Linked DNA regions of Macaca fascicularis. The protein of the gene in region 1 interacts with the protein of each later gene in a biochemical or structural test. Links are inferred from orthologs where the notes say so. Each region holds a gene or a part of one and is shown on either strand. Other genes may lie near its edges.

Region 1 (8,087 bases):
AGTTTGGGTTTGCCTGATTACTCCTCAAAATTTAGATTCAGGTAATCCATTTCAGGGGTCAGTGGTGGGGACAAGAACACGACAGTGATGCTGTGGCCTCCCTAGTGCAGGACACTGGGAAGCACATGATGTCTGTCTGTGCTTCTATTGATAACTTTGATCACTTGGATAAGGGAAAGGCCACCAGATTTCTTCACAGCAAAGGTGCCTTTTTATACTGCATGATTAACATATAATCTGCAGGTAGATAATTTAAGAATATCTTGTTCAGCAACTAACTTTCACCCAACAGATTTGGCATCTATGGATGATTCTTGCTGAAGCAATGATTACTATAATCCTTATTTATTTTTAAAAGCAGACTCCTCCAGACCAGCTCCCCCAAAACAATACAGTAGTTCCTAAATGGTAGCAACATGTCACCTCTTCTCCTGTCATGAACATCTGGAGATGCAGGTTGCCTTGTTGACTTGTGGGTGGGCTGTACTATTGGCATTTAATGGGAGCTAAAGGGAAGCTAACAGAGATCTACTGCTCATTTATTTACTAGGGTCATGGAAAGGCTCTGAAAGGGAAACTAAGAAATCAAAGGAGGAAAGGACTCTGAGAACCTGCGGGCTTGGCCTCACTTCTTTGGAAGTGCAAAGCAATGAATTACATCAAGTGGTCATTGTTCCAGGTGTAAGGGCCTCTGCAAACAGACACTAGAGACCTGGTCCCTGAATCTGCCCCAGGAGATGCTTTGAACTATCTATTTCACTACTGCAAGCTTTCAGCCCAGCCTGGAAACTGTACAATCCAGGGTTTCATCACAGAACCAAATCCTACATTATTGTCTTTGACTTTTCACCATTCTTTTAAACTTCAGTTAAAACCCATCTTGCCAGGCCTTACAGTTCGGAGCATGTAGAAATATCTCTAGATTATGAGGAGTCCATTGGCTACATATAGAAAATGAGAGTTTTTATTATTATTATTATTTTTTGAGATGGAGTCTCACTCTGTCGCCCAGGTTAGAGTGCAGTGGCTCGATCTCAGCTCACTGCAACCTCAACCTTTTGGGTTCAAGTGATTCTCGTGCCTCAGCCTCCCAAGTAGCTGGGATTACAGGTGTGCACCACCATGCCTGGCTAATTTCTTGTGTTTTTAGTAGAGGCAGGGGTTTCACCATGTTGGCCAGGCTGGTCTTGAACACCTGGCCTCAACATGATCCACTTGCTAGACCTCCCAAAGTTTTGGGATTACAGGCATAAGCCGCTGCACCCAGCCCAAAATGAGAGTATTTTAAAGCAAGTGTTGTAGTTGGTTGGTTGGTATGTGGGTTTTCAGCATCTGTGTGATTTACATTATAGAGGTACCTTCAAGTTTGAAAGGAGAAATACTAATAGTAAGCTACTCAGAACACAACACTATGGGCTGGGTGCGGGGGCTCACGCCTGTAATCCCACCACTTTGGGAGGCGGGCAGATCACTTGAGGTCAGGAGTTCGAGACCAGCCTGGCCAATGTGGTGAAGCCTCATCTCTACTAAAAATACAAAAATTAGCCGGGCGTGGTGGCGGGCACCTATAATCCTGGCTACGTGGGAGACTGAGGCATGAAAATTGCTTGAACCCAGGAGACAGAGGCTGCAGTAGGCAGAGATCACCACTGTATACTAGCCTAGGTGACAAAGTGAGACTCCAAACACAAAAAAACACACTATTGTGTATGCAAAGTAAAATCACATTTCTACCATACTACAAGAGCTCAAAGAGAGGCAGCACATCAGACCAAGAACGGCTGTCTGTAGAGGGAAGGGAACAGGTGAAAGGAGTACAGATAAAGGGAATAAAAAATAAATTAAGAGAATGGTCTTGTACAGACAAATGACAAAATGCCATGAACTATGTATTATTGATTTATATATAAAATGATATAAAATACCCAGCTGCTGTAAGTCAGTTGAAAAATCCTCACACTTACGTTATTTTCTGTTCCATAAATGTGTCTGGCTCCCGGGCAGTGTAGGATGTGATTTCCTGGCCCACGCCAAAGTCCTCGGACACTTCCACTCTCTTTTCTGGAGGCACAAAGATGGGGGCTTCGTTCACATCCAGCACATCCACGGTGACAGTGGCTGTGGAGGTGGTGAGAGAGACCTCAAAAGGCGCCACGTTCGTCACTGCCACGTGTAGAATGTACTGCTGCTTGGCCTCAAAATCCAAGCCCTAGAGAGCAGAAACAATGAAGTTAAAAACAAAACAAAACATTTTGTGTTAGTAAAAATGAAATTAAATCCTTAACTGTTGCTTTTGGTAATACAGTAGGTTGGTGCAAAAGTAACTGTGGTTTCTGCCATGACTTTCAATGGCAGAAACCATAATTACTTACCAGGGCTTCTCAGATCTGCTCACCTACTCAAGAGGAAGTCAAAGCTCTGGGGCTATTCTAGGGATCCAGTCACTTCAACAAGCAATTCACTCAAATTCTTAGTTTTCAAGTTTCTTTCCTTATTTTGTTTCTGAGACAGAATTTTTGCTCTTGTCACCCAGGCTGGAGTGCAATGGCTCACTGCAACCTCTGCCTCCCAGCTTCAAGCAATTCTCCTGCCTCAGCCTCCCTAGTAGCTGGGATTACAGGAGCCTGCCACTACACCTGGCTAATTTTTTGTATTTTTAGTAGAGATGATGTTTCACCATGTTGGCCAGGCTGGTCTCAAACACCTGACCTCAGGTGATCAACCCACCTTGGCCTCCCAAAGTGTTGGGATTACAGGACTGAGCAACTGTGCCTGGCTACCTTTTTTTTTTTTTTTTTTTTTTTAAAGAGACGGAGTCTCGTTATATTGCCCAGGTTAGAGTACAGTGCCATGATCATAGCTCAGTGCAGTGTCAACCCCCTGGGCTCAAGTGATCCTCCCACCTCAGCCTCCCAAGTAGTTGGACCCACCGCCATGCACTACTGTGCTTGGCTAGTTTTCAAGTTTCTAGGACATTTTTCAAAAACAACCATATCTGCCCCACTTCTAAAATAAACCAGCACAAGAGCAGAGACCAGTAAATCATTTTCCCTCTCATTGCAAAATGGAAAGAGCTAAGGGAAAGAGAATGTTTTGGGAAAGAGCCTTTTTCAATTTCAGGATCCTGTGTAAGAGCTTCTTGATTTCTTCTTTCTTTCTTTTTTTTTTTTTTTTTTTTTTTTGAGACGGAGTCTCGCTCTGCCGCCCAGGCTGGAGTGCAGTGGCCGGATCTCAGCTCACTGCAAGCTCCGCCTCCCAGGTTCACGCCATTCTCCTGCCTCAGCCTCCCAAGTAGCTGGGACTACAGGCGCCCGCCACCGCGCCCGGCTAGTTTTTTGTATTTTTTAGTAGAGATGGGGTTTCACCGTGTTAGCCAGGATGGTCTCGATCTCCTGACCTCGTGATCCGCCCGTCTCGGCCTCCCAAAGTGCTGGGATTACAGGCTTGAGCCACCGCGCCCGGCCTTTTCTTTCTTTCTTTCTTTCTTTCCAGACAGAGTCTCACTCTGTTGCCCAGACCAGAGTGCAGTGGCATGATCTTGGCTCACTGCAACCTCTGTCTTCCAGGCTCAAGCAATTCTCCTGCTTCAGCCTCCCAAGCAGCCGGGATTACAAGTGTGCACCACCACATCCGGTTAATTTTTGTATTTTTGGTAGAGACAGGGTTTCACCATGTTGTCCAGGCTGGTCCCAAACTCTTGACCTCAGATGATCTGCCCCCCTTGGCCTCCCCAAGTGCTGGGATTACAGGCATGAGCCACCATGAGCCATCAAGAAGCCTTAGCTTCTTGATTTCTTTTTTTTTTGAGACGAAGTCTCACTCTGTTGCCAGGCTAGAGTGCATGGCACGATCATGGCTCACTGCAACCTCTGTCTCCCAGGTTCAAGTGATTGTCCTGCCTTAGCCTCCCTAGTAGCTGGGACCGCGCTAGTAGTGGGAGCACGCCACCACGCCCAGCTAATTTTTGTATTTTTAGTAGAGATGAGGTTTCACTATGTTGGTCAGGATGATCTCGATCTCTTGACCTTGTGATCTGCCCGCGTTGGCCTCCCAAAGTGCTAGGATTACAGGCATGAGCCCCCACGCCCGGCCTCTTTTTTTTCCCCCCCGAGATGGAGTCTTGCTCTGCTGCCCAGAGCTGGAATGCAATGGTGCGATCTCGGCTCACTGCAACCTCCACCTCCCAGGTTCAAGCAATTCTTCTGCCTTAGCCTCCCGAGTAGCTGAGATTACAGACGTGTGCCACCATGCCCAGCTAATTTTTGTATTTTTAGCAGAGACTCGAACTCCTGACCTCGTGATCCACCTGCCTCAGCATCCCACAGTGCTGGGATTACAGGCGTGATCCACCACACCCAGCCCAGTTTCTTGATTTCTTACATGGGCAGGAAGAGCCACTGCAAACCCCACATGGTCCACTAGAATCTGGGAAAGTCACCCTGTCCCCCTGCCAAAGCGAATCTACTTCTAAGAAGATACCAGGGGACAAGGGCATGAACAGCTTCAAGGATGCCAGTTTCTGCATCTTGCCATATACCATACAAACCTTTGCTGTTTTCAAAATGCCATCGTTGGTCACTGGATTTGTGGTGACAACAAATTGTCCGTCATTATCATTCAATATAGTGTATACAGCCTCCCACGCTGGGGTATTGGGGGCGTCAGCATCAGTCACTTTCAGTGTGGTGATTACGAAGTTCGCCTGGTTCTCAGGCACCTGACCCTTGTACTGCAGAGGAAAGAGATGGGTCATTTACAAAGTACCAAGACTGCTAGCAGAGCTGAGTCTCAGGGGGCTAAAGGAATCCTCTTTTTTTGTTGTTTGAGACAGGATCTCACTGTCATCAGGCTGGAGTGTATTGGAGCGATCATGGCTCACTGTAGCCTCAACCTCCTGAGCTCAAGCAATCCTCCCACCTCAGTCTCCAGAGTAGCTAGGACCACACACATGCGCCACCACACCTGGCTAACTGAAAGCAAGCTTCGAGGAGCAGATGTGACGAGGAGAGACCAGGCAATGGGCACATTGGGTTGCAATGGTGCAATCTCAGCTCACTGCAGCCTCCACCTCCTGGGTTCGAGCAACTCTCGTGCCTCAGCCTCCCAAATAGCTGGGATTACAAGCATGCACCAACATGCCCGGCTAATTTTTGTATTTTTAGTTGAAACGGGGTTTTGCCACGTTGGCCGGGCTGGTCTCAAACTCCGTCCTTAAGGCCGGGCTGGTCTCAAACTCCAAACAGCCTTGGCCTCCCAACTTGTTGGGATTACAGGTGTGAACTACCACGCCTGGCCATTATACAGGATGATTTAAACTTCCCCTACTTGGTTCTCAACACCTTCTCCTTGAATGCATGTAATATCCTTGGTGTTCAATAACTCTCATAAGATGTCTTCCTAGCTATAGTAGAAACACCATGAGAATAGAATCTTTGTCTGCTTTGTGTGTGATGGTATCTCCACTGTCTAACACAGTGCCTAATATAAACTTAGAAAATACGTGTTCAATGAAGAAATGAAACCCAGTAATAGTTGCTATAAAAATGTACCATATGCAGATAGGAAATCAGTAGGTGCTTTCTGCAACTTCACAATCTTGAGCCAATTGGCCCCAGGCCAAGGGTGGAAAAAAGATGCTAAAAGACAACTGCCATCTCAAGATGCTTGCTTTTAAGTTTAAAGTTAACATTCACTAGTCTGGAGAGAGTTTTCAAAGACTTTGCCCATGAGCAGTGGTGAAACTTAGTTCACGAACAACAAAAGACCTTTCTTTGGAAACCCTCTGAGGAGTTGTAGAATTACCGTGGTGGGATTGAAGACTGGAGGGTTATCATTGGTGTCAGTGACTGTGATCACAGCTGTTGCTGTTGTGCTTAACCCTTCACCTTGAAGGTCAGCCGCTTGAACCACCAGGGTATACATAGGGAAACTCTGCAGAGAGATCAATGCAACCAAGTTAGGACCAGGACTACCAGCCACCTCTGGCCTAGCCCAGCCCAACACATGGAACCAGAATATTTAACCATCTGCTTCACGCCAGTCAGCCTGTCTTCTAGGCACGGAACCTCTGGGCAGAAGCTTAGATGCAAAGCTCAGACCAACACTGTATTAACTGACAGGTGGCCTAGCAGGATTTTGCTTTGTCCACGGGATTGAGCTAATATACATTTGTCCTCCACACCCTCTGGATCCTCCTGACATCTGACCTCTCGGTCCAGCCCAGTGGTGACCACACTGATGACTCCTGTGTTCTTGTTAATGGTGAACATATTTTTGTCAGGCAGCTCAGGATCTTGGCTGAGGATGCTGTAAGCGATGGCGGCATTGTAGGTGTTCACATCATCGTCCGCGTCTGTGGCTGTGACCTCCATTACGGAGGTCCCTGGAAGAATTCAAGGAGACGAAGGTTTAGACAAACTGACCCTTTGGGACAGGGTCAGTATTGCTTAATCCAATTCTGCCCTGAGGGATAAAGGAGGGGACATGGGGGTGGTACCATGTCAGAGTTCCCCCATTATCTAATTCCTAGAATTCTTACCAAAGTGCTAGGGGAGGAAGAAAGCTCAAACTATCAATTTATTATTCAGGTATAAATAGACAAATGGTAATGAAGAAAAGAAAGGGAATGATTACCACAAAAGTCAGGGTGCGGTTATCTTTTTTTCTTTTTGAGACAGAGTTTTGCTCCCGTTGCCCAGGCTGGAGCGCAACGGCGCAAACTCGGCTCACTGCAACCTCTGCCTCCCAGGTTCAAGCGATTCTCCTGCCTCAGCCTCCCAAGTATCTGGGATTATAGGCATGCGCCACCACGCCCAGCTAACTTTGTATTTTTAGTAGAGACAGGGTTTCTCCATGTTGGTCAGGCTGGTCTTGAACTTCAGACCTCAGGTGATCTGCCTGCCTCCTCGGCCTCCTAACGTGCTGGGATTCCAGGCATGAACCACCGTGCCCAGCCTAGGGTGTGGTTATCTTTATGGAAGAGAGAAAAGAATGTGATCAAGGGAGATTGTTTAGGACTTTAAGGTACTGGCAAAGATCTGTTCCTTAATTAGGAAGGTTGTTCTTAGCCAGGTATAGTAGCTCATGCCTATAATCTTAGCAGCTTGTGGGGCTGAGGTTGGAGGATTGCTTGAGGCCAGGAGTTTGAAAGTAGCCTGGACAACAAAGTGAGACCCTATCTCTATAAATTTTTTTTTTTTTTTGAGACAGAGTCTGGATCTGTCACCCCAGCTGGAGTGCAGTGGCGCAATCTTAGCTCACTGCAACCTCCACCTACCAGGTTCAAGCAATTCTCCTGCCTCAGCCTCCCAAGTAGCTGGGATTACAGGCACACACCACCACGCCTGGCTAATTTTTTCGTATTTTTAGTACACATGAGGTTTCACCATGTTGGTCAGGCTGATCTTGAACTCCTGACTAGAGGTGATCCACCCGCCTTGGCCTCCCAAAGTGCTGGGATTATAGGCGTGAGCCACCATGCCCAGCCTAAAAAAAAAAATTTAACAAGAAAAAAGGGAAGATTGTTCTTAAACTCTGTTTTATGTGTTTCCATAGGTAGACTGTTATACACATGCATATAACACAACAATGGCTTCCCAAGAAGTTCTGTCCATAGGAAGGGTCAGCTTTAGTTACACAACCTTCGGGGTTGGACAACACTTTGGGGTCCAAAGAACCTAAGAGTCTTTCTGGATATTCAGATTCTCATTAGTGGATATACCTGGAAGAGCACCTTCCATGACAGACCCCTTAAAGACCTCCTGGGTGAACACGGGCTTGTTGTCATTCTGATCGGTCACCGTGATCAAAATCTCCATTGGGTCCTCAACTGCATTCCCGTTGGATGACACAGCATGAGAGAAGAGCTGAAAGAACCAAGTGAGGGTGAATTGAGCTCTGATGAGGAAGAAAATGTGGCAGAAGGAGCCCGGCCAGAGCAGAGTGTACTCCCTGGGCTGCCACACCCTCCCACTCTCTGAGACCCCAGTGGGTGACTTTTCTCACACATGTGCTGCTGCTGCTTCAATGAGATCATAACAAGGTAAGACCCATGGAGTGGAACACCCCCACTGGCTCAGACCTCCCAT
Region 2 (8,087 bases), on another chromosome or scaffold:
TCATGATCCGCCAACCTGGGCCTCCCAAAGTGCTGGGATTACAAGTGTGAGCCACCGCGCCCGACCTTATTTCTTTACTTTGTCTACTAAATTCAGAGTCCCTTGAGGATGCCATGAAGTCAATGCCTTGTAGAGTTTGACTTGAAGAAGGGGCTCAATAAATGTTTGAACAATGGGATAAAGGGAGCTTGAAGGAAGTGGTTAATGGTAATGAAGTTAATCCTTAGTAGTCAGGATAGAATTTATGTTATTTTGAGTAGTGAGAAGCAGTTTATATTTTGAAATAAAGACTAAAGACTGAACTGTCCTTTATTTGGATTAACTTCACATGTTGCTGATAAAGATTAATTACTTCTCAGTTTCCTTTGCAGGAAAGTCTAGAATGTGAATTTATTTGCTTCCAACTTTAAACTGACTCACTCTGAGTTGGCATTTCACTCTTTTTTTTTTGCCCAGGCTGGAGCAGAATGGCGCAATCATAGCTCACTGTATCCTCAAACTGCTGGGCTCAAGTGATCCTCCTACCTTGGCCTCCTGAGTAGCTAGGATTATAGGCAGTTGCCTTCATGCCCAGCTAATTTTTTGTAGAGATGAGTTATTGCTATATTGCCCAGGCTGGTCTCGAACTCATGGTCTCAAAGGATCCTCCCACCTCAGCCACCCAAAGAACTGCGATTACAGGCTTGAGCCACCATGCCCGACCTCATTCTTTTTAATTGAGTAATTAAATGATCACTTTCTTTTTTAACAAAGACAGGGTCTTGCTATATTGCCAAGGCTTGTCTTGATCTCCTGGCCTCAACCTCAGCCTCTCAAAGTGCTGAGATTAAAGGCGTGAGCCACCACGCCCAACCCAAATGATCACTTTGGATGTTAATCACTTCCTAAAAAGAAATGGAATAAGTATGAAAAGATACTTTTCCTTTAAGGAAATGAATTGTATGTTGATTCAGGAGAACACTATCTTGAGTTGGTACCAATAACCTGACCTTCAAGCCCAAACTATAGTGCTTACTCCTATTTGCTCTTGTTTCAAGAGATCTCTTTGTTTTAAGGTCGATACTCCCTCTCCAAGCCCAATGGAAACATCTGGATGTGCCCCTGCAGAAGAAGACCTGTGTCAGGCTTTCTCTGATGTAATTCTTGCAGTAAATGATGTGGATGCAGAAGATGGAGCCGATCCAAACCTTTGTAGTGAATATGTGAAAGATATTTATGCTTATCTGAGACAACTTGAGGTCAGTATTATCATTAGTTTTTTTTCTAAACTGCATCTAACTTTATGAAAGTCTTTTCTATCAATAGTTCATAATAATTCAAGCAGGACTTGGGCAGCATTTCTTAAGAGATCGCACTTTCAAATTCTCCTTCATGGAATACCTAAAATAAAAAGTCACTAAATCAATGGAGTCTATTTGCCACTTTGTGCAGGAAAGTTCGAAGTCAGGGTGGATACTACTATCGGTCTTTCTGAAGGAAAGTCCACAGATTGAATTTGATATGTATATATGCAATCTCCACCGTATTTGGAATGGTTAAGTCCCAAACTCTGCATTTTAGGTAATAATGGGTCAGCAAGTGGATGAGAATGTAGAATATACTCAAAGACTACAGCCACCCCTAACACAAGGCATTTTGTGTTAGTGTGGCTGATGTGCGTCCAGTTGTTGGTGAAATTATTTGTGCCCAAAAGGAGTACACTCAAAAGCTACTTTTTGGTTCACTTCAATTTGATCCCACTTTTGAAACTTTCTCTTAATGGCATTTGCCCTTTTCCTACAAACACAAGTATTCTATATGGCAGCATAAACATAGTAGCGTCAACTATACCGTTATCACATTTACCTAGTTTTTTGGTGTGTGTGTGTGTGTGTGTGTGTGTTTTTTTTTTTTTTTTTTAGAGGGAGTCTCACACTGTCGCCCAGGCTAGAGGGCAATGGTGCCGTCTCAGCTCACTGCAATCTGCCTCCTGGGTTCAAGCAAGTAATTCTCCTGCCTTAGTCTGCCGAGTAGTTGGGATTGCAGGCACACACCACCATGCCTGGCTAATTTTTTGTATTTTTATTTGGTTTTGGTTTTTTGAGACAGGGTCTTGCTCTGTTGCCCAGGCTGGAGTGCAGTGGTGCAATCTCGGCTCACTGCAACCTCTGCCTCTCGGGTCAAGTGATTCTCATGCCTCAGCCTCCTGAGCAGCTGGGATTACAGGTGCCCACCACAACACCCAGCTAATTTTTGTACTTTTAGTAGAAATGAGGTCACCATATCGGCCAGGCTGGTCTCAAACTCCTTAGATGATCCACCCACCCGGCCTCCCAAAGTGCTGGGATTACAGGCATGAGCAGTCGTGCCCAGCCCCCAGTTGTTTTTAATGCATCGTCTTAATGTCATCACTGACATCTCTTGCCTGCTCCTTTGGGGCCTCTCCTTTTTCTATAGGATTCTTCTGCAAGACTTCTATGCCAGGAGTAGCCTTCTGCTTTGAGTTTCTTCTGCCATCTTTTTAGGGCTTTTTAAAGTTGTGTTCTAACTTTGGAGGATACCTTTTTTTTTTGAGACAGTCTCGCTGTGTCACCCAGGGGGTGTGCCGTGGCTCACTGCAAGCTCCGGCTCCCAGGTTCACGTCATTCTCCTGCCTCAGCCTCCTGAGTAGCTGGGACTACAGGCACGTGCCACCATGCCTGGCTAATTTTTTGTATTTTTAGTAGAGACAGGGTTTCACCATGTTAGCCAGGATGGTCTCGATCTCCTAACGTCATGATCCACCCACCTTGGCCTCCCAAAGTGCTGGGATTACAGGCATGAGCCACCGTGCCCAGCCTGTAAATGTGCTGTTTCTTGATGCTTCGTTCTTGTTCTGTGCAAGGCGGCCATATATGCAAAGCAACCCCCCAAATGTCAGAGGAGCTGAGAAACCAAGGAATGAGGCAGATAAATGGAGTTTGCTGGTATTGGGTGACTGATGAGGGGGAATTTACAGACATAAGTCTGGTCTTTGATGGCTGTAAGATGTAGATCTCTGCACTGTAACCCCTCATACCCACGGCTTGAGTATGTATACATTTTCTTGGGGAAAGTATACGTGCTCTAGAATCAATGTGCGGGTGGCTGAGAGAATGCTACAGACATCATAGCCTATAATGTATACAATAGTATGAAGGGCTGTTTTGGAGGAGAGGCCAAACTTAAAGTGAATAGGCAGAAGGCACATTGGATTAGCATTTAAAATAAAGTCACTCTTGTCCCCCACAGTTCTTAGCTATGTTGCTGTTGGGCTTTAACCCTGGAGCAGGCAGGAGTGTTGTAGTACATGGGTTCCAGCTGCCCTGGGAGTTTGATATTTTCTCTACGTAAAGCTCAGGTTCTAACTTTAGAGGCTCAAGTGAAAAGATCTGAGATGATAGTATAGTATCTTTATTTGGAAGGGAGTGGACTAGCAAGAGTTGTGGTGAATTGAATATCGTAAGACCTGACAATATAAAAAAGCTGTCACACTGTCCTATCTAATGTTTGCCCTTTTTTGGCGGGGGGGTGAAGGGGGAACAGTCTCTCTCTGTCACCCAGGCTGGAGAGCAGTGGTGCAATCTCGGCTACCTGCAACCTCCACCTCCTGGGTTCAAGCAATTCTCCTGCCTCAGCCTCCTGAGCAGCTGGGACTACAGGTGTGCGCAACCATGCCCAGCTAATTTTTGTATTTTTAGTAAAGAGAGGTTTTGCCATGTTGGCCAGGCTGGTCTCGAACTCCTGGCCTCAAGCAATCTGCCCATCTCAGCCTCCCAAAGTGCTGGGATTACAGGCATGAGCCACCACGCCAGCCTTAATGTTTGCTTTCTTTCTTGGTGATGGTGTTGTTTGTGGTTACCATATGAATAATTGAATTAAGAACTGATACAAAGGCTGGGCACAGTGGCTCACGCCTGTAATCCCAGCACTTTGGGAGGCCAAGACAGGTGGATCACGAGGTCAGGAGATCGAGACCATCCTGGCTAACACAGTGAAACCCCGTCTCTACTAAAATACAAAAAAAAATTAGCCGGGCGTGGTGGCGGACGCCTGTAGTTCCAACTACTCGGGAGGCTGAGGCAGGAGAATGGCATGAACCCGGGAGGCGGAGCTTGCAGTGAGCCGAGATCGCGCCACTGCACTCCAGCCTGGGCGACAGAGCGGGACTCCGTCTCAAAAAAAAAAGGAACTGATAGAGATTCTAAATGCCCCAGTGCTACTTACTGTAGGAACTAACTGATCTTTCTGGACATAAATGTGTCACATGGAGTCATGTTTCTAAGAATAATCGGCATTTTCTTTTGCAGGAAGAGCAAGCAGTCAGACCAAAATACCTACTGGGTCGGGAAGTCACTGGAAACATGAGAGCCATTCTAATTGACTGGCTAGTACAGGTTCAAATGAAATTCAGGTTGTTGCAGGAGACCATGTACATGACTGTCTCCATTATTGATCGGTTCATGCAGGTAAGCATTTCAGTAAGTTTTCCCTTCCAGGATTCTAGCCGAGTCATAAGAAGCTGACGTTTTTGGGCTGGGCCGGGTGTGGCGGCTCATGCCTGCAATCCCAGCGGGCGGGTGGATCACGAGGTTAGGAGATCGAGACCATCTTGGCTAACACAGTAAAACCCCGTCTCTACTAAAAATACAAAAATTTAGCTGGGTGTGGTGGCGGGCGCCTGTCGTCCCAGCTACAGGAGGCGGAGGTTGCAGTGAGCTGAGATCGCGCCATTGCACTCCAGCCTGGGCGACAGAGTGAGACTCCATCTCAAAAAAAAAAAAAGAAAGAAAGAAACTGACTTTTTCAGCTAAAATCTTTCTTGGGGGATATGGTATCATTAATTTAAGATTTTGCAATGGGAGAATGTCTTTCTACCTCTCCATCATAGCTCTGTGTCTCCTTTTCAAACATGTTATTCATTGTGTTGAAATTCCCATTGCAGAATAATTGTGTGCCCAAGAAGATGCTGCAGCTGGTTGGTGTCACTGCCATGTTCATTGCAAGCAAATATGAAGAAATGTACCCTCCAGAAATTGGTGACTTTGCTTTTGTGACTGACAATACTTACACTAAGCACCAAATCAGACAGATGGAAATGAAGATTCTAAGAGCTTTAAACTTTGGTCTGGGTCGGCCTCTACCTTTGCACTTCCTTCGGAGAGCATCTAAGATTGGAGAGGTACAGGTTTCTTAAGAAACCTTTCGGTATGGGTACATTAGGGAACACTGCTGCTGACCAAGCAAGTCGAATTCAACTGACCTTATATTATACCTAACTACATGGGGAAGAGAGAAAGTTGTTCTTTATTTTTAGTCAGGCTGCATGTTAATATTAGGGCTTTCCGTGGGCATTTGAGAGTTTGTAGACAAACATTTGTAGTTAAAAGATACATATGGGCATGCAGGTTAGTGCCAAATGAAAATTTTCTGAAAGAAACTCAGTGACACAGGTTTTGTTTCAGGTTGATGTTGAGCAACATACTTTGGCCAAATACCTGATGGAACTAACTATGTTGGACTATGATATGGTGCACTTTCCTCCTTCTCAAATTGCAGCAGGAGCTTTTTGCTTAGCACTGAAAATTCTGGATAATGGTGAATGGGTAAGCTCTGTCCCACAGAACTCCTAAGCTTTTAAATTGTAAAGAATGTTTGACTAAATACAGAACTTTTGTTATTAAAGGGCAATTCAAGTGATTCATAAATATGGGATCTACTGAAGGAATAGTTTAAAAAGATGTCATAGAATGTTTCCACATGGTTTTGTTTTTGAGACAAGGTCTCGCTCTGTCGCCTGGGCTGGAGTGCAGTGATGCAGTCTTGACCCACTGCAACCTCAGCCTCCAGAGTAGCTGGGACTGAAGGTTTCTGGCTAGTTTTTAAATTTTTTTCATGTCAGACGGGTAATATGCCCACGTTGTAACAAGGTTTGAGGGTGGCACATTTCACACGTTCACATGAACACCCAATCATCACACTTATAAACTACAAGAGTCGCCCACCAGCCTGGGCAACGTAGCAAATCCTCATCTTTACAAATATATATATATATATATATATATATATATATATATATTCAGGTTGTTGCAGGAGACCATGTACATGACTGTCTCATCTTTACAAATATATATATATATACACACACAAATATATATATATACACAAATATATATATATACACACACAAATACATATATATACACAAATATATATATATAGAGAGAGAGAGGCACATGTCTGTAGTCCCAGCTACTCTGGAGGCTGACCTTTATATTTTTTGTAGACATGGCGCCTCCCTATATTACCCAGGCTGGTCTTGAAACCCTGGGCTCAAGCGATCTACCCACTTCCACTTACCAAAGTGTTGGAATTACAGGCGTGAGCCATTGCAACCAGTCAAGTGTTTCCATTTCTTTGCCTAATTTCAACTGTATTCCCTTTGAGAAAGGTAGAGCAACTTTTACTCCTTAGAGGAGAAACTTGAAGGTCAAATGACATACAAATAGTACATTCATATTCATTGATTCAGCAAATGCCTCTCCTATGTGGCAGGCACTACCCTAGGTGTTAAGAATAGAACTATGCAGCCGGGTGTGGTGGCTAACACCTGTAATCCCAGCACTTTGGGAGGCCAAGGTGGGCAGATCACGAGCTCAAAAGTTCAAGACCAGTCTGACCAATGTGGTGAAACCCTATCTCTACTAAAAATACAAAAATTAGCCAGGCATGGTGGTGCAAACCTGTAACCCCAGCTACTCAGGAGGCTGAGGCAGGAGAATCACTTGAACCCGGGAGGCAGAGGTCGCAGTGAACCAAGGTCACACCATGCACTCCAGCCTGGAGTGAGACTCCATCTCAAAAAAAAAAAAAAGAAAGAAAAGAATAGAACTATGACAAAGTTGGCCTCAAGGAAGAAGAGTCTAGTTTTAGGGTGGGCAAGTCAACAATTACAATAGTGCAATTGTGTTTGAGCAGAGGTTCCTATAGAAGCATGAGAGCACCTAGGAAAGGAGGAGTCTTTAGCTTTGTCTTACATTTCACTTATATTAATTAATGATACAGTACCCTTCCCTTCCCCACTCCTGAATAACATCAAACATCTAGAAACTTTATGAAAATCATTATCGATTGAGCATTTTTAACATTAACTTTTGTTGTCTTAGACACCAACTCTACAGCATTACCTGTCATATACTGAAGAATCTCTTCTTCTGGTTATGCAGCACCTGGCTAAGAATATAGTCATGGTAAATCAAGGACTTACAAAGCACATGGTGAGTCAATATAGTGGCATTGTAAGATGTCAAAAAGTCTAATAATTCAAACTTAATGCCTGCAAATGCCTGGTTTATTTTTAATGAGTTAATGTTTTAAATGAATACCTGTATCATTGGATCTTGTGATTTTTTCCCCTCTTTAATGGCTATCCTTTTGTCTTCCAGACTGTCAAGAACAAGTATGCCACGTCGAAGCATGCTAAGATCAGCACTCTACCACAGCTGAATTCTGCACTAGTTCAAGATTTAGCCAAGGCTGTGGCAAAGGTGTAACTTGTAAACTTGAGTTGGAGTATATATTTACAAATAAAATTGGCACCATGTGCCATCTGTACATATTACTGTTGCATTTCCTTTTAATAAAGCTTATGGCCCCTTTTACTTTTTTATAGCTTAACTAATTTGAATGTGGTTACTTGCTACTGTAGGGTAGCGGAAAAGTTGTCTTAAAAGGTATGGTGGGGAATATTTTTAAAAACTGCTTTTGGTTTACCTGGGGATCCAATCGATGTATATGTTTATATACTTGGTTCTTGTTTTATGTACCTGGCTTTTACTTTATTAATACGAATTACTGAAGGTGATGGAGGTATTTGAAAATTTTACTTCCATAGGACATACTACATGTAAGCCAAGTCATCATGGAGAATCTGCTACGTAGTTCTATTTTAAAGTAAAAGTCTACCACCAAATCCCTAGTCACCCTGTTAGAATTGTTTCTTCTGGTGATTGCTGCCATAATTCTAAGTTATTTACTTTTACCACTATTTAAGTTATCAACTTTAGCTAGTATCTTCAAACTTTCACTTT
Region 3 (8,087 bases), on another chromosome or scaffold:
CTTTCCTTCCTTCTTGCCTCCTCTCCCATAGCTTTGCCTTTGGTTCTACCATGAGCGCTCAGGGGCTCCATTTAGCTCATTGACAGCACTCAAGGTTAAAAATTCCTCATCTCAAATCAATTATTTCTAACTTAACCCAGTCATTCTTCCCATCTTTGCAATTACTACGACGGTCCATTACAGATTAAACGTTTATAATTTTTATATCCATGGAGAGCTGTGAACTTTGGACTCACTGTATTGATGAATATAAAGATCCAAATTTCTTATAGTAAAGTGTAAAAATTATCTTTTCTTTTCTTTTGGAGACGAGTCTCTGTCACCCACGCTGGAGTGCAGTGGCGCGATCTCAACTCACTGCAACCTCCGCCTCCCGGGTTCAAGCGATTCTCCTGCCTCAGCCTCCAGAGTATCTGGGATTACAGGCACCCGCCACCATGCCCAGCTAATTTTTGCATTTTTAGTAGGGACAGGGTTTCACCATGTTGGCCAGGCTGGTCTCAAACGCCTGACCTCAGGTGACCTGCCCGCCTCAGCCTCACAAAGTGCTGGGATTACAGTCATGAGCCGCCGCCCCCAGCCTAAAAAGTATCTTTCTTAGTAAAGGAGCTTCTTTTAAAAGTGAGGTTTAAGTCTCAGGCACTGTAGTGGTCATTTATGGTTCCCAAATTTCTGCTCTAGACTACCATCAGGACCTTATTCTATCCTCAAGTAACCTGAATAACTGCCTTAACAAGTAGTCCTTTGTAAGTTACTGCTGTAATACTATACAGCTTCCCAATACTTTCACAATCATTTCAGTCTGTAAGTTGGAAAAGAGAGGACAATAAACATATTACATAAAGTCTGCTGTTAAGTTACCAAATATCTTATCTTTGTACTATGTTTATGAGACCTTTGGAGACTGAGAAGATAACTTACCCCGAGCTGGACTCGTTCTTTTAGGGAAATCCACTGTGTCATTTGCTGGATCCTCTATGGGTTTTTTCCCTATAAAAACGAAAAAGGGCAGGAAAAGGGGTAAGTCAGTTTAAAATAGAAAAGATTCCACCTGGCACATTTTTCATTCTTCGGTCAGAACCTTTTGATCACAGATGCACCACGAGGGACAAAGGGCAGGTGGGGGCAACTTGTTCCAGCAGGGGACTATTCAGAAACAAGGATAGAAAACAGGCAGCAGATAGGTAAGATGAGGATGACCATTGTTGATGCTATTGTCCTGAGCTCTGATAATGGGGACTGCTGCCCAGAAACAGCATGCCATGAGCTATTAGCTCCAAAGAGCTAAACCTGTTTCAGTGTCTTCCTCAACTGAACTTTCCTACATGCATAGACAGGGAAAGGTTAGGCAAGGACATACTAGGGAAGCTAAAACCAAAACATGCAAATTAGAAGTAGATAAGCACCTTAAAAGACTCCACTCACCTCTGGAGAACCACTCATCTTCCAGTGCATCACCCAAGGCAGAAAGCAGAGAAGAGAAAAGAAATAAGAAAAATGCAGGAGAAAGATGTCAGCAGAATCATGGGCAAATAAGCAGGGAAGCACAGAGAAGAAAAGAAAAACACAGAAAATGCAAAGGACGTATGGGGAAGAAGGTCCCAGATTAGTTGAGTTCTCATTTTCCACTGCCCCACTCATTGATACCACCACCACCACCACCATCACCCCACCACCAAACCTTGAATGAAGCACACAACACAGGAGAAGCAGCAAAGCAAAAAGACATCTGTAACCAGGCAGACTCCCATATTGCTTGCCAAGTATTTTGTATCTTAAGCTAAAGTGTTCCTTCCTTTCCCTGTCCCACATTAAAGAGTAAGAAACAGGAACCAAGACTCACCTTTGCCCTTCTTGGCCCCAAAGCAACTGGCAGCATGTGGCCCAGTATTGTTGGCAACATTGGGAGCTGCCTCTTGGTAACGCTCTGCCTGTGGGATCTCCCGGTGAACTTGATATGATAAGTTCCGAAGGAGGCAAACACAGTTTTCTACAAGCTTAGGTACACAAGATAAAAGGGCCAATGAGAAAAAAGAATGTCTGTTGTGATTTCTCCACAGGTTTCCATGACTCAGGTATTAAAATGTTGATATTCAAATGCATAACCCAATCCATAACTTCTCAGGATGCCTCTTAAGCGCTCCAGGCTTCTTGAAATCCCTGTAGCCTCAGGCTAATGGAAGGCCCAACTATGGACTTATTGGCTTCTGCCACTATTTGGTGTGTGACTGAAACTTGGATCATCATTCTTACTACTTAGACAATGTACAATTTTGGAAGACAGCTAAGCAGCTTTAAAATATATAGGTGACAGATTTTTAAAAAAAGAAAAAAAAGCTGGGCACAGTGACTCACACCTGTAATCCCAGCACTTTAGGAGGCTGAAGCAGGTGGATCACCTGAGGTCGGGAGTTCAAAACCAGCCTGGCCAACATGGTGAAACCCTGTCTCTACTAAAATACAAAAACTAGCTGGGCATGGTGGCAGGTGCCTATAATCCCAGCTACTCAGGGGCTGAAGCAGGAGAATCGCTTGAACCCAGGAGGGAGAGGTTGCAGTGAGCCGAGATCATGCCAATGTACTCCAGCCTGTGCGACAGAGCCAGACTCCATCTCTAAAAACAAACAAATGAACAAAACACATGTTTTCTTTTAAGTTGAATGCCCACTTTAAGGAGTAGGGGCTTGGCTGGGCACAGTGGCTAACGCCTGTAATCCCAACACTTTGGGAGGCTGAAGTGGATGGATCACGTGAGGTCAAGAGTTTGAGACCAGCCTGGCCAACATGGTGAAATGTACTAAAAATACAAAAATTAGCTGGGCGTGGTGGTGCACGCCTATAGTCCCATCTACTTGGGAGGCTGAGGCACGAGAATCACTTGAACCCAGGAAGCGGAGGTTGCAGTGAGCTGAGATCACATCACTGTACCCCAGCCTGGACAACAGAGTAAGACTCTGTCTCAAAAATAAGGGGTAGGGGCCAGTAAAAATAGTTAACATTACTTGAAAGCCTGAGATGATAGGTCTCTGAGCTACAGATACTTCATAGTTCTGGTGAATGGAATTCACTCAGTCATTAAAGGTAAGACAAGCACTTACCTTGCTGTCTGAATCCTTCTGCCCAATCTCAGCCTGAACAATGAAAATGAGGGCATCAACTAAACCATCACATTCCCGAAGTTTCCGGCGAGCTTCACTCCTCTCTGAGCTTACATTCCTGAGGGGAAACCAGAAGCTTCAAGATGACTCAAATCCAGAAATCCTCCCTTAAATATCCCTCAACACCTACAAGATTCCTGAATATTTTTTTCTACTCACTATAATAGCGAATACTTATCATAAGCAAGGTACTGCAGTTCAGAGAAAGTTGATTAACAGTCCCCACCTTCTGAATGTCTGTATCACTGTGGGGTAGGGGTTAATGATATATACCAGATGCAGTAATTCAAGATGGAATATACACTTCTTGTATGGAAGTATAATACATATGTAGAACAGAGCACACAGAGGTGTATTCCAAAGAGAGACAGATTATATAGCAGCATGTATAGCATATAAAAATAAGTCAGGAAAATTTTAATAAAATAAAGGCACTTGAGTTTAACTACAAAAAGATAAATAAGAAGAGAAAGGCATTCACGGAAAGAACAGACCTTCCTCACCCATGCCCTAACCTCCTAGTGCTCTGTACCTCTTTTGCTGCATTTATCACAGCCTGACTTGAAATACAGATAACTAGGGCAAGGACACAGACAAGTCCAGGACTAGACCACCTTACATGTGGTAGATGCTGAACAAAAGCTTACCAAAGTAGATGAACAAAGTCAAAGAGGCATAAAAGTGAAGAGGATGTGTGGGGAACAGCAAGAAAACTGACATAGGTACATGTGGTACGCATAAGAGAATAGCAACAAAGGTAGAAAGACAGGTTGGAGTTACAGTATGCAATACAGATAGGAATGGAGGCTAAAGAATAGGCTAAAGAATTTTAATTGTTTTTTAAGGAAATTTAAGTCAGTCCTCAAAAATTCACCTTCATATTCTCAAAGCCCCTATTGTTACCTAAGGCAGCCAGCTGTGTTGGTGAGCACCGATTCCCACTCAATATGGCGTGGCTTACAGTCTTCATTAGGTTCCCGCTCCCAACCAGAATGAGGAATGATCACTTCATCTGTCAAGGCATGCAGTGCATGGTCCACAATCTCCATTTTGATTGAGTCATGGGATGAAAGATTCCACAGGGTTCCTGGAAGAGACAACTCATCAGATGGCTCTTGAGCATTCAAGACAACATGTCTGAAGAACATCAAAGAGAATCCCCTATTATATCATTTCTCAGTCTTCCCCAGTGACCAAATACCTTGTAGTAATATTCAAGTTTTGTTTGTGAACCTCAGCAAGAAACATGTTCTATATTACAGCTCAAAATAAACATACAGATCATGAAATAAGGTTTTGTAAAGCAATATTTAACGATAAGCAATGCTCTCCGATCTATCTATACCAGAGTTTTTCAACCTCAGCACTACTGACATTTTGAGCCAGATAATTCTTTGCTATGAGGAGCTGTCTTGTCTATTGCTGGATGTTTAGCAGTATACCTAGCCTTTACTCACTAGATGCCAGTAGCACTCCCTCTCCCCTGTTCTAAGTTATAACAACCAAAAACATCTCCAACACTACAAATGTCCAAATGTCCTCAGGGCAGGACAGGCAAAATGGCCCACAACTGAGAAGCAATGGTCTATATTACTTTTTCTTTATTCCTTTCCCTTGGAATGCTGATTATGCTCCACAAAATTGTGTTTTATTCACTAATGGATCACACAAATAGATCACAACCCACAATCTGAAAAACTACTGCTCTAAATAAAGCAAGGACCACAAGCTTAAATGTCTATATGGGCCAAGCAGGTGAGTCAAGAGAGGAAGATATTTAAAAGAAATTACAAGCATGTGAAAAAATAGCAGTTGACAGCTCCATGTTTGGGAAACAACATCCTAAACGGCTGTAGTTGGTCAGATAATAGAATGTGTTGGAGATTAGTGTAAATTAGAGAACACATGCTCCAATCAGTTCAGACCAAATACTGCTAGAAAAGAAAAGAGATCCATTGTTAACAACTTTTCCACATTTTTAATAGAAGCCAAGAATCTGGAATTTTAAGTGAAATCTTCTGAATTTTAAACATCAGCAACCAGTTCTTTAAAATTTCAAAAATGCTGTGTGATCCAAACAAATCTGTGAGATGGATTTGACCCAAGGCCACCAGTTCACAACCTTTCATCAAAAGTAAAAGGTCTGGAAATCCCTCTAGTTCTTAACATCACTAGAGAGTAACAGTGACTTAGCAATTTTCCTTAGGCCTAGAACTCACCGGTAATGACTTCAGTAAGGTCCATATCACGAGCCTTTCGGAGCAATCGCACAAGGGCAGGCACACCATCACAGTTTTTTATGGCAATCTTGTTATCCTGGTCACGTCCAAAAGAGATATTCTTGAGAGCTCCACAGGCTCCAAGGTGCACTTCCTTTTTGGGATGGTCTAACAATCCCACCAGTACTGGGATGCCCTTGAGCTTCCGCACGTCAGTCTTCACCTTGTCATTGCGGTAGCATAAGTGTTGCAGGTATGCAGCTGCATTGGACTTGACAGCATCCAAGCGGAATCCAAGCATGGCGATCACCTCTGGCAGCTCTGGCTGTCTCCAATTAGGAGGTGGGGGCCCTCCTTTGCGCAGGCTATCCAAGCTTGCTAAACTTCCTCGCTCATGCTGGGCCAAAGGAGCCCAATAGTATTGATCCGATGGCACCTCCTCACCAATCATGTCTTCGTAGCTCCTGAGAAGTTTTGGAATAACCAAGAGAATACATCAAGTCATTATGGCTAGCTTCCTGGACATTCCCATTACCCTCATCTGCAAAGCAGGATTAACTGGAGTTTCAGTGTGCTCATCTTCTCTCTCCTTTGCATGAATAATATACTGATCAATTTTCCTCAATGGGTTAGGAAAAATAAAAGGTAATAATCTTAAAGGCACCTACAATTTAATTAAAACTACACTTTTTTCTTTGAAGTCTGCAGGGTTAGAAAGTAACAAGCATTCAGGAGAGGCTAATCAAAAAGAAAGAACCAAATCCTTATTATTTATCATTTACTTGAATGATACCTGACAGCTATTAACTTTTCTAGGTAGAGATCAGGATAAACTCTCAAAAAGCAGAATTAACCAAAGCAACTGACTCAATGCCACAGAAGTCTGAGAACAGTTCCTTAACCAAACAGGAAATTAGGCATTTACACACAGGAAACAACTGGCGGGTTAAGACCTTTAAATGCATTTCATATTTAAGCTTCTCCTTATCCTATTTTGGAAATTATAAAAGATGGATTGATAGAGAAAAACTAATAAAGGGCTTCCTGCTACATTATAGGAGGATCTGGGTTTGGTACTGATGAGGTATAAACTTGAAAAGTAATTTTCACAGTCATCCCAAGGTCATGTCTGCTACTCAACAAATGTGTTAGCGGTAAGATTCCATCCTCCAATTTCTAAAGACAGTACCTCCAGTTCTTTCAAAATTGAGCCTATTCACCAACATCACATTTGGGAAGCCCAGCCACTAGGAACAGAGAAAGCAATTGAAAGTAAGAAAAATCAAACCAGGAGACAATTCTTCCTGTTTCAGTACTACCAACAACCACTAGAGGGTGAGTCTGTCACACTATTATTTATTCATAACTACCAGGAAGAAAGAAACCCATTATCTGTGAGCTCATCTCTTCTGGCTCCCACAGGAGAGGAGAATCTATTGTGTGGAGCTCTCCAAATAAGCCGTTGTTTGTTCTACAAAACCACTCCCACTGTCACCAAATACTCAAAGTTGCCCTGAGCAGAAGGGCTGCCTCACAGGTATCAACATCAACTATGCAACAGTGATTCAGATGGACAAAGTATTTAGTAAAACATGACCAAGATGGTCTTAAAATAACACGGAAACAGGACCAGGCGTGGTGGCTCACATCTGTAATCCCAGCACTTTGGGAGGCTGAGGTGGGCGGATTACCTGAGGTCAGAAGTTCAAGACCAGCATAGCCAACATGGCAAAACCGTATCTCTACTAAAAATATAAAAATTAGCTGGGCGTGGTGGTGGGCACCTGTAATCCCAGCTACTTGGGAGGCTGAGGCAGGAGAATCACTTGAACCCAGGAGGTGGAGGTTGCAGTGAGCTGAGATCGCACCACTGCACTCCAGCCTGGGCAACAGAGCAAGACTCCATCTCAAAAAACAAACAAACAAACAAACACAGAAACAAAATGAATAGCTTAGATAGCTAAGTTTTAAAAGTAGGCTATTGAGCAGTATGTTAAGATTTCCTTTTTGTAGAGGGAAAATAGGATACAGTTACATGTACAATAAAAAAACCTCAAAGGATATGCACCAAAATGTTAACAGTGGTTCTTTATTAATAGATGGTATGCTTTTCTGGGTTTTTCAGGCTCCGTATTGAACATGCTTAACCTCTATTATTAATATACAAAATTATAAGAACAATTACCATAACCAAAATTTCCAAATAACTCTATCTTATATCTTTTTCTATATAGAGGCAGTGGATTGGGCATTCTTTCCTCTGTTTTACAAGTAACAAAGCTGTGCCCAGGAAGACCAAATGACTTGCTTGAGGCTACTTAGCTAGTGGCAAAGGCACAACTAGAACCAAGGTCTCAGGGTTCAGTGCTTTTTCCACTAATCACTGCCTCACTGTTTAAGTTTGACCTCGTATTACTCTTCTAGCCTGGAACAGGAAGCAGCAAATATTCTTGCTAGTCAAGCAGGTTTCCAAGTCCATTGCTACCCTGGAACAAACCCAAGAACGGCCCAAAACTCTATGTGAACTAGCACAACTAGGGACGGCAGAGAATGACCTGGCCACCCACACCCATCTGGGTCCAATCACTCTTTACTAATGAGGAAGTCAGAAAAAGCAGACTTGCAGTAGAGCCAACACCCTGGACAGACTGCTTCAATGATGGCTGTTATCTACCACTGTTCTAGGTTGCACCAGCCGAGGTCTGGTGCT

What was found.
Region 2: of the proteins of CDH1 (region 1) and CCNB1, one has a biochemical effect on the other in vitro, tested with the Homo sapiens proteins (3 studies listed by BioGRID). The link is inferred for Macaca fascicularis from reciprocal best matches to the Homo sapiens genes CDH1 and CCNB1.
Region 3: the proteins of CDH1 (region 1) and CTNND1 form a complex in vitro, tested with the Homo sapiens proteins (5 studies listed by BioGRID and IntAct, with this or other methods). The link is inferred for Macaca fascicularis from reciprocal best matches to the Homo sapiens genes CDH1 and CTNND1.

The regions. Positions count from the first base shown.
Region 1 is NC_088394.1:64,896,844-64,904,930, reverse strand, and holds part of CDH1 (cadherin-1), read right to left. Parts: intron 7,866-8,087; coding exon 7,721-7,865; intron 6,383-7,720; coding exon 6,207-6,382; intron 5,932-6,206; coding exon 5,803-5,931; intron 4,730-5,802; coding exon 4,547-4,729; intron 2,210-4,546; coding exon 1,965-2,209; intron 1-1,964.
Region 2 is NC_088380.1:74,833,602-74,841,688, forward strand, and holds part of CCNB1 (G2/mitotic-specific cyclin-B1), read left to right. Parts: intron 1-1,055; coding exon 1,056-1,238; intron 1,239-4,307; coding exon 4,308-4,466; intron 4,467-4,942; coding exon 4,943-5,179; intron 5,180-5,462; coding exon 5,463-5,603; intron 5,604-5,893; exon of another isoform or gene 5,894-5,995; intron 5,996-7,163; coding exon 7,164-7,274; intron 7,275-7,442; coding exon 7,443-7,550; 3' UTR 7,551-8,087. UniProt on the Homo sapiens protein: Essential for the control of the cell cycle at the G2/M (mitosis) transition.
Region 3 is NC_088388.1:15,795,364-15,803,450, forward strand, and holds part of CTNND1 (catenin delta-1), read right to left. Parts: intron 5,842-8,087; coding exon 5,378-5,841; intron 4,246-5,377; coding exon 4,062-4,245; intron 3,217-4,061; coding exon 3,099-3,216; intron 1,998-3,098; coding exon 1,844-1,997; intron 1,444-1,843; coding exon 1,426-1,443; intron 991-1,425; coding exon 922-990; intron 1-921. UniProt on the Homo sapiens protein: Key regulator of cell-cell adhesion that associates with and regulates the cell adhesion properties of both C-, E- and N-cadherins, being critical for their surface stability.